Linked DNA regions of Oryzias latipes. The protein of the gene in region 2 purifies or fractionates together with the protein of the main gene of each other region. This does not show direct contact. Links are inferred from orthologs where the notes say so. Each region holds a gene or a part of one and is shown on either strand. Other genes may lie near its edges.

Region 1 (4,109 bases), on a different chromosome or scaffold from region 2:
GCCTCCCAGAACAATTTAGTTCCTCATTACAACTTCTACAACAACAAAAATAACAAGAGTACCAGTAATAGAAAAAAAAAACTCTGACTATTTTAATATTTGCATTGTTTTAAGTGTCTTACAATAGTTAACAAAAGAGCAAAGTTAGTTGATTAAAGTTTCTTCCCACGTTGAGCCCTAAAAATGCATTGAGTTTTCCTTTTTATTCCACTTGTTTATCATGCCTGAATAAATGAAATAAGAGTCATTACCATTTGTTTTTAGAGCTGATGAGTTGAGTCGTGTGTGTTGGACCTTTTAGGACAGGGGTTCCCAAAGACAAACATCCTATTTCAATAACAAAAGTATCTTTTTTGTTCATGTTTTTAATATTGCTACTTATCCTAATATTAGATTTAAGAATGAAATAAATTAAATGAAATAAATCAATTAGTTTGATATTGGAAAATACCATTTGGATTGAGGCAAATGTGAGTTTATTTTACTATACCGTAAAAAGTGATCAAGTGTAATCACCATGGACAACACACATGTGATGGCAGCAAAAACCGATCAGTGCATCATTCCAGTTCAATGCATGGAAACACTTTGAGTTTTGCCATGTCATGTGACTATACAGTAGAATGTTCTAGTAATGTTCTGTTTGTATTATTTTGATGTAGATAAACAACAGTGGGCTGAACTTTGTTTGCACACATATTTAATTTACACTTGATTATCTTGCAAGAAATACAAGGAATCTGGAAAACTTCACCTGCACTGTTCAGTACCAGGTATTTATCTCTGAGTCTCACTGGTTGAATTTTTGGCTTAAGATCGATTTTAGGTCAGTGAATCGGACTATTTAAAATGAACCTATATCAACTATGAATCAAATCAGCAACCACAAATTAGGATACGAATCAAATAGTTACAGTGGAACTATGGTCATAGCTGTTGTTGTTGTCATCTAAAATGGAAATAAAAAATGGTGTCATGTTAATTTCATTTATGTTTTTTTATTTACTAACATTCTAGTTTGTCTGTTAAGATTAATCATGAATATTGATCTATTCCAGCCTGTCTTCAGTTATATGTGTATATTTTGGAAAGGGTCTATTTGCACGTCATTTTCGAAATAAGTGCGGCCAGCCCTGGGCTTTTTTTCTTGGCCACACAGACCTAGAACAGGGGTTAAGGTTAGGATTACAGTTGTGGGTTGGGTTAAACCACCAAATAGCTCCTGAGCGCGGCTGTTTTTGCACCTCACCGCTCCTCCAGGAGATGGATCAAAGGCAGAGAACATATTTTACACACCTAGGTGCATGACAGATAATGGGACTGTAACTTTAAGTTTCATTTTAAACACCTGGGGCCAACAACAAAATGCAACCTTGGACGCACTTAACCCTTGTGCTATCCTACGGGGTCAAGATGACCATTGACATGTTATCCCTACCGTGACAAAGGTGAATAAAAGTGGAAAGATTTCATGTAATCCATGGACACCGGAGAAGACCACAAATCATTGAAGAAAAAAAGGTTCAGCGCACTGTCTAGTGGGTCTAGACTCTAGATGACCCAACTCCCAATGTCAAAGTGCCTAGGATAGCACAAGGGTTAAAAGGCACCATTATGTATCTTGGCTGCAAGCATTACGTGTGGCCAACATAAATTTCCATAACTTTTTGTGCTTGTCACATAATCGTGTGTGGATAACATCAACCTTTTTTTATGTACACATCATGTACGATTCGGTGGAGAAATTAGTTTAAAAAATGTTTTAACTATGATTTTAATAGGCTCATTTAATGAATGTTTAGAGTTTTTTTTTTAATGTAGTTTATGTAACTTTTTAGGGAATTTTAGGATCAAACAAGTAAAATAGTTGGACATGCTCCCAAAGAAAAATATAGATATTTAGATAGATTTGTTTGTGTGCAAAAGAATCAATATTATTCTGATTAACAGATGCGCTTCCTGTCATATAAAATACATATCCTATGTTTGCCTTTGTCTGATGTTGGCATTAGCAGCCAAATGTGGCGTACAAAAACAGAATTATCATTAGAATCGTGTCTCACCTGAAGTCAGGGATGCCGGCTGAGGTGCTGATGCCAGCTCCAGTGTGGACGACCAGGTACTGAGATTCTTTAACCAACTCAGCAAGAGTCTGCACCTTCTCCTTCAGCTCTTCAGGACTGTCAAACTTCTGCCAGAAGACACAAACAAGTCCTTTTAGGAATGAGCACAAGCAATCATCCATGCATGTGTTGCTAAGATTGTTGGTCCCGAGATATGAATTCATGAATAGCTTCACGCTTTTATCTATTTATGTGACACGTTCGGCGGACAAAGCCATAGCTGAACGTTAGTACAGATTAGTAAAAGGCTGCTTTAAATCTATTATGAAGGAAAACAACAACTTTGCACCCATCAAATTTTGTGGATATATATGATACAACATCCCAACAAGAATAACTATATTTGAAACAATATAATTTATTATCTTGTTAAACCAGAGCTGGAATTTAAACTCACTAGAACGAATAAAAAAAATGTAAAGAGAGATTTTCAAACAAGGGGCTGGTCCTTAGCAAGTGTTTTGTTAGATAAAAGAGCAGAAGGATCACAACAGCAGGACAAAAACATCGCTCATGATGAGCTGCTAGCTCATTTAGCATGAAAAGCTCTTTAATGTAGTCAAAATTTACCTCAGGAAGGCCGCAGACCCCCTTATCTGCGTAAGGTGACAATCCGGCAGCATAATTTACTGACATGACTCTGGTAACTGTTGTCTTTGTTGTTATTTTCTGTTTGAAAAACAGTCCCAAACCCGAGTTTTAGGTTTGAACTGCGGCGTTTGGATGACGACATCAATGTGCGCCGGCATGTGATGCATTCAGAAACCATAGGGAACATCATTGATACGATTCACACCATACAGACACAGACTTAAAATAGTTTATTTTAGAATATGAATAAGTTTGAGTTTTGCATTCTTACATCTACATAAATAATAAAAAAGTAATAAATAAAAGATAAAGACTGACATGTTTGGTAGTTCAAAATTCCTATTTCCCTCCAACCTCTTGAACACACATGTTCAAGTTACTCTTTATAATTGAATTTTAAGGTATTATCAAAAGTTAAATAGCATGAGCAAACTAAATGCTGTTGTCTTCAGCTGGAACACTTTAAATGACTTCCTTAAAATAACAAAGCACAACAAAAAATTGGATTTCCGTTATGTGCAGTCATTCCAAGCACTTCAATGAATGTTTCTTTGAAATAAATCTTTATTTTAAATAGCTGGGGGGGAAAAAAGAGACATGTGAATAAAACACTTTAATCATTCATACAGCTACATCTGCATATTGGAAATTAATTGCTTGCCTCAACAGTTGTTTCAAATGAATTTTTATCCTGAGAAATTTAATTTATTTACTAAACTTACTTCAGACATTAAAGTTATCAATACTGCAGATTGGAAAAAAACTAAATCAAAAAACACCATCCATACTCTCAGAAAAACACCAACACCCGTCCAGAATCACCCAACAAAACAGAGAAGAAAATTAAAATAAAGAGGATCATTATTTCTTAACATTTTCATTTGCGGCGCAGAAAAACGTCAAGAATCTAGAATCAGACTACGTGCATGATTTTACCTAATAATCTCACAGGTGACACCATTCAGGTAAACTATGAAGGAATTTAAAAGAAAAATAAATTATAATGAATTTCAACCAAACCAACAGAACTACATCATTTTTCATAGGTTTTGGAGTCTTTATAATGCTGCTTTAGCTCTTTGGGTCCATCAGGTGTTTCGGAGTGATACTGTGTTTACAACTGGATGTCTTTAAAATAGCAATCAAGTATTTTGACTACGATTCAAACCTTTACTCCAAGTATGATTAGTTAACAAAACAATTGTTGCTTTTTCAAAAACGGCCCCACACTTCGAGAGCTCAAAAACATTTCAAATCCCCCACCAACTCAAACACTTTTCAATCTCCCCTTAATTCGAGGTTGTTTAAAAAAAAAAAAAAAAAGACACACCCAGAGTGACAGAGAAACACATTCAACACTAAACCAGAAAAAAACCACAAGATCAAAAATGTCCA
Region 2 (3,652 bases):
TAGCTCTTTTGTCCTTCTTGTTCAGCCACCATCTTAATCTGGTAGACTAGACCAGAGAAGCCTTTAAGATTTGTGACCATTCCAGGAAATATATCTATTCATATTGGGTTAACAAATGTCTTAACAGCCACCTGTGTTTTAGTGGAATTGATTTTCAGATAACATTTGCCTTTCCTTGATTTGTATTGATTATTTAGGAAGTTACTGCACTCCTGCTGTACCTTATATAATGGAGTCAATGGGACTGCAGGTTTGCGGTGAGTTCAGGGGTCTGACACCTTGTGGCTTGACTAGCTGATGTACATTGTCTTTACAACTAAAAATCCAAGTTTCCAAAGCTGGTGGCTTTCAAATCTATGCATCTTTACTCTTCTTCCTGCCTGTTGTTCAAAAATCTGCAGAGCTTTGCATGCTCAAAACACTTTATCCTTTTGCATTTAAGGCATTTTTCTCATCTAGAGGATTTATATTGAAATAAAATAAACAAACTTCATAGTTTTAGCACATTTGCTAGGGGCATAGAATTGTTTTTTGTGGTTGCTAACATGCATTGTTGAATGAAATTAATTGTAATATAATGCAATGTCAGTAACACTAACAGACTATCCTCTAAATCTATTATAAAGAAGTAACCACAACGCCCTCTTAACTCCTGCAGAATATCAGTGTTTGCAGTATTAATTGGTTAAAGCATCAGTTGAAATCAGTTGAACGACATCTTTGATTCCTACTTACTAATGTTTTCTGTTTATTCACTCTTGCACCTCTTGCTGCATAATGCATACTTAGCGGCTGTGCAATACATTTTAACCAAACATGGAGTACTTTTACTTGTGTCATTTTGTTTTCAAATATTGATGAAACATAAAAAGGATTTTGGTTATTTTGAGGGGAAAAAAGCTTTTCTGAAGTATCAATTAAATTAATAATTCATAGATCTGCAGCAAAGATTACATTTGACCTTTTTAGCACAGAAATGAGACAATGTGGTCAATTAAAAAAAAATGTTGGAATTAAATTGGCAAATTGCTGAATATTTTCTGGCTGTTAAAGTATATTGTATTACTTATTTCTCAAATCTTAATGTTAAGGTTTGTTTAAAGTCACAAAGAAATGTGCCACAAAGTTTGCATTTTACGATGCAAAGATTTCCATTGCTCTGAGAGTTTAAAATTATCTGTATTTTTTCTATCTATACATAAAGATTTCTAATTTTAAGTCTTAGACTACATTTAAGATTGCTATATCTTTTTAACTGACTGAAGTATTTTTTGCAGCAGAGGACTATCAACGCATTGAGTTTGGTGTTGACGAGGTAATGGACTCCAAGCCAATTGGGGTGAACGATCCTTTGTACAAGGTTTCGAGTACTCTCAACCCCCAGGCTCCGGAGTTCATCTTGGGCTGTCAGTCAGTTCAGAAGGCGCCGCAGACGACACTTCCAGCACCGGATGTTCCTGATGGAAGCCATTTCAACTCCCTGGATGGGCCAGATTTTGAAGCCTCGGCTTTGGACAATCACCAAGTGTGCCAAGACATGGATGCACCTGGAAGCCTGGGTCAGAGAGAGCGAAAGAAAAAGAAAAAACGTCCACCAGGATATTACAACTACCTGGACCCATTAGGAGGGGGAAACGGCAGCGGCTCCATTGTGGCCGATGGACAGTCAGTGACAACACTTGTGAATGGGCATGTACTTGGAGGCCCTCACAACAGTACTGAGGATGTAGACAGTAAGGCATTTTTAGGGGATGAACTTTCCACTCCTGGACCTGTCTCCTTGGTAACATCTACAAATGTTGTGTTTGCCCCCACAACCACTGCTAATCAGAGGACTTGTGATAGCCCAGATGACTCTTCTTTGGACTTAACAAGTGCCACTGCCTCTTTATCAGATGGTAACAATGCAACTTCCTCCTCTTCATCCTCCTCTCAAAGTAGAGGGATGACAGAGGGACCAAGGACTGCAGATCAGCAGCAAGATCATTTGGCTTTTGAGAGCCCCGAACTTTTAGTCTCCCCACACAGTCCCCGCTCCAAATCGCCTCTTCCTCCTTCAGAATCTGTGGCTGCTCCCTCTGATATCACTTCCATTACGACTACTGAACTAGAGAGGAGAGAGGAAGCAGACAGTGGGGTTACCAATGGACTAGAACAAACTAGTACGCCTGTTAGCACAGGTGGACTCAAAGAAGACTGTGAAATTGTGGAGCAGAGTCAGCATCTAGCTCCAGACTCTAATGCTCAGCCTGTAGTGTCAGAGCAGGCACAATTACCTGCAGTTTCAGCTGCACCCACTGCCAATCTTCCCAAATCTTGGGCAAGCCTATTTCACAACTCAAAGCCTCTTCCTGGGGGCCCTCCGGCCTTTGTAGAGGTAAAACATGTTGTGGATGTTGTGTCTCCCTCCCCTGCTGTTCCAGAAGAACCTGAACAGGTTGAGGAGGTTAAAGAAGGTCCAATACATGTATCAGAGGACCCATTTGCTCCTAAACTTGCAGGTACTATATAGTTGTGGTTCATCTTTGTTGCATTATTGTTGTTCATCTTAGGTTTTAAACTTTAGTACAATTTCTACTCATTTTATTAGTAATGCTTTGGATTTTAATCATTAAGGTAATAACATTAAAATTAATGTTAGGAGGTGAAACAGCGGGGCTCATCTTCTGAGAAGTAGGTATTTTCATATTACATCAAGCTAGAAAAACATTTCAATTATTTTTAGGCTTTGCTCTCGCTGGCCTTCAACAAAATGTAGACATGAAAAGGTGGCCACTAGATGGCAGTCATGCACTATTATTTTAATGACATTTCCAGTTGTGGCTGGGTTTCTGAAAGCTATCGTATTGTTAATTGCATATATTTAACATATTTTTTTTTAAAAGATAACCCATTTTTAGAATTGCCATGTGTCAAGACCGAGGATGTGTTCAAAAATACAAAGCTGGACATGAAGCAAGGCTTGTTATGGCATAGTTTGAAATGTTTGTCACAAACACACACACATTTTCTGCCTTGTAACCAGGGTCAACATGAATTAGTTTAACAAAGCCTCCGAAGGTGGTATTGAGTTCTAATTTTCAACATTTTCTTTGACATCTCCTATTCAGCTTTATAAATAGTCACCAATAGTGAAAAGCCAATAAATGTATAGTGATATTTGCCTAATTAAGATAGTCAATAGTTTATATTTTAAAAATGTTCTTCAGTGATCACCTTTCACAGCTCAGATATTTATACACATTTTAAAAGTAGACTCTCCCTATTTCTTTCTGTTATTGTAACTTGGCTGAGACAATCCACGTTACCATGGGAACTGTTCCTGAGTTACAGTATCCCTTCCTAGGCGTGGTACAAAAAAAATCTTTGGCTCTTTTTTAGTCTCTGGTGGTTTTGCACCTAAGGCGAGAAGAGAAAAAGGAACATTTCTGACTATTCAAAAACTTTACAAAGCAGGTGTTGTGTTATGACTTCAAGTATGTGCGGAGCAACCTATTGACAAACACTGTATTTGTTTGAATCCTCAGAAATTATTGAGAATGTGAAGTTGATGCATAAACCAGTGTCTTTGCAGCCAAGAGGTCTGATCAACAAAGGAAACTGGTGCTATATCAACGCTGTATCCTTTGACTGATGTTTATTTTTGCTTTTT

Evidence for each region. Proteins that work in one complex are often made in the same cells at the same time.
Region 1: the proteins of usp10 (region 2) and sirt6 purify together in Homo sapiens (affinity purification with western blotting; 4 studies listed by BioGRID, with this or other methods). This does not show direct contact. The link is inferred for Oryzias latipes from reciprocal best matches to the Homo sapiens genes USP10 and SIRT6.

The regions. Positions count from the first base shown.
Region 1 is NC_019875.2:22,338,184-22,342,292, reverse strand, and holds the start of sirt6 (NAD-dependent protein deacetylase sirtuin-6), read right to left. Parts: upstream 2,873-4,109; 5' UTR 2,760-2,872; coding exon 2,694-2,759; intron 2,192-2,693; coding exon 2,064-2,191; intron 1-2,063. UniProt on the Homo sapiens protein: NAD-dependent protein deacetylase, deacylase and mono-ADP-ribosyltransferase that plays an essential role in DNA damage repair, telomere maintenance, metabolic homeostasis, inflammation, tumorigenesis and aging.
Region 2 is NC_019861.2:21,045,637-21,049,288, reverse strand, and holds part of usp10 (ubiquitin carboxyl-terminal hydrolase 10), read left to right. Parts: intron 1-197; coding exon 198-257; intron 258-1,277; coding exon 1,278-2,501; intron 2,502-3,527; coding exon 3,528-3,619; intron 3,620-3,652. UniProt on the Homo sapiens protein: Hydrolase that can remove conjugated ubiquitin from target proteins such as p53/TP53, RPS2/us5, RPS3/us3, RPS10/eS10, BECN1, SNX3 and CFTR.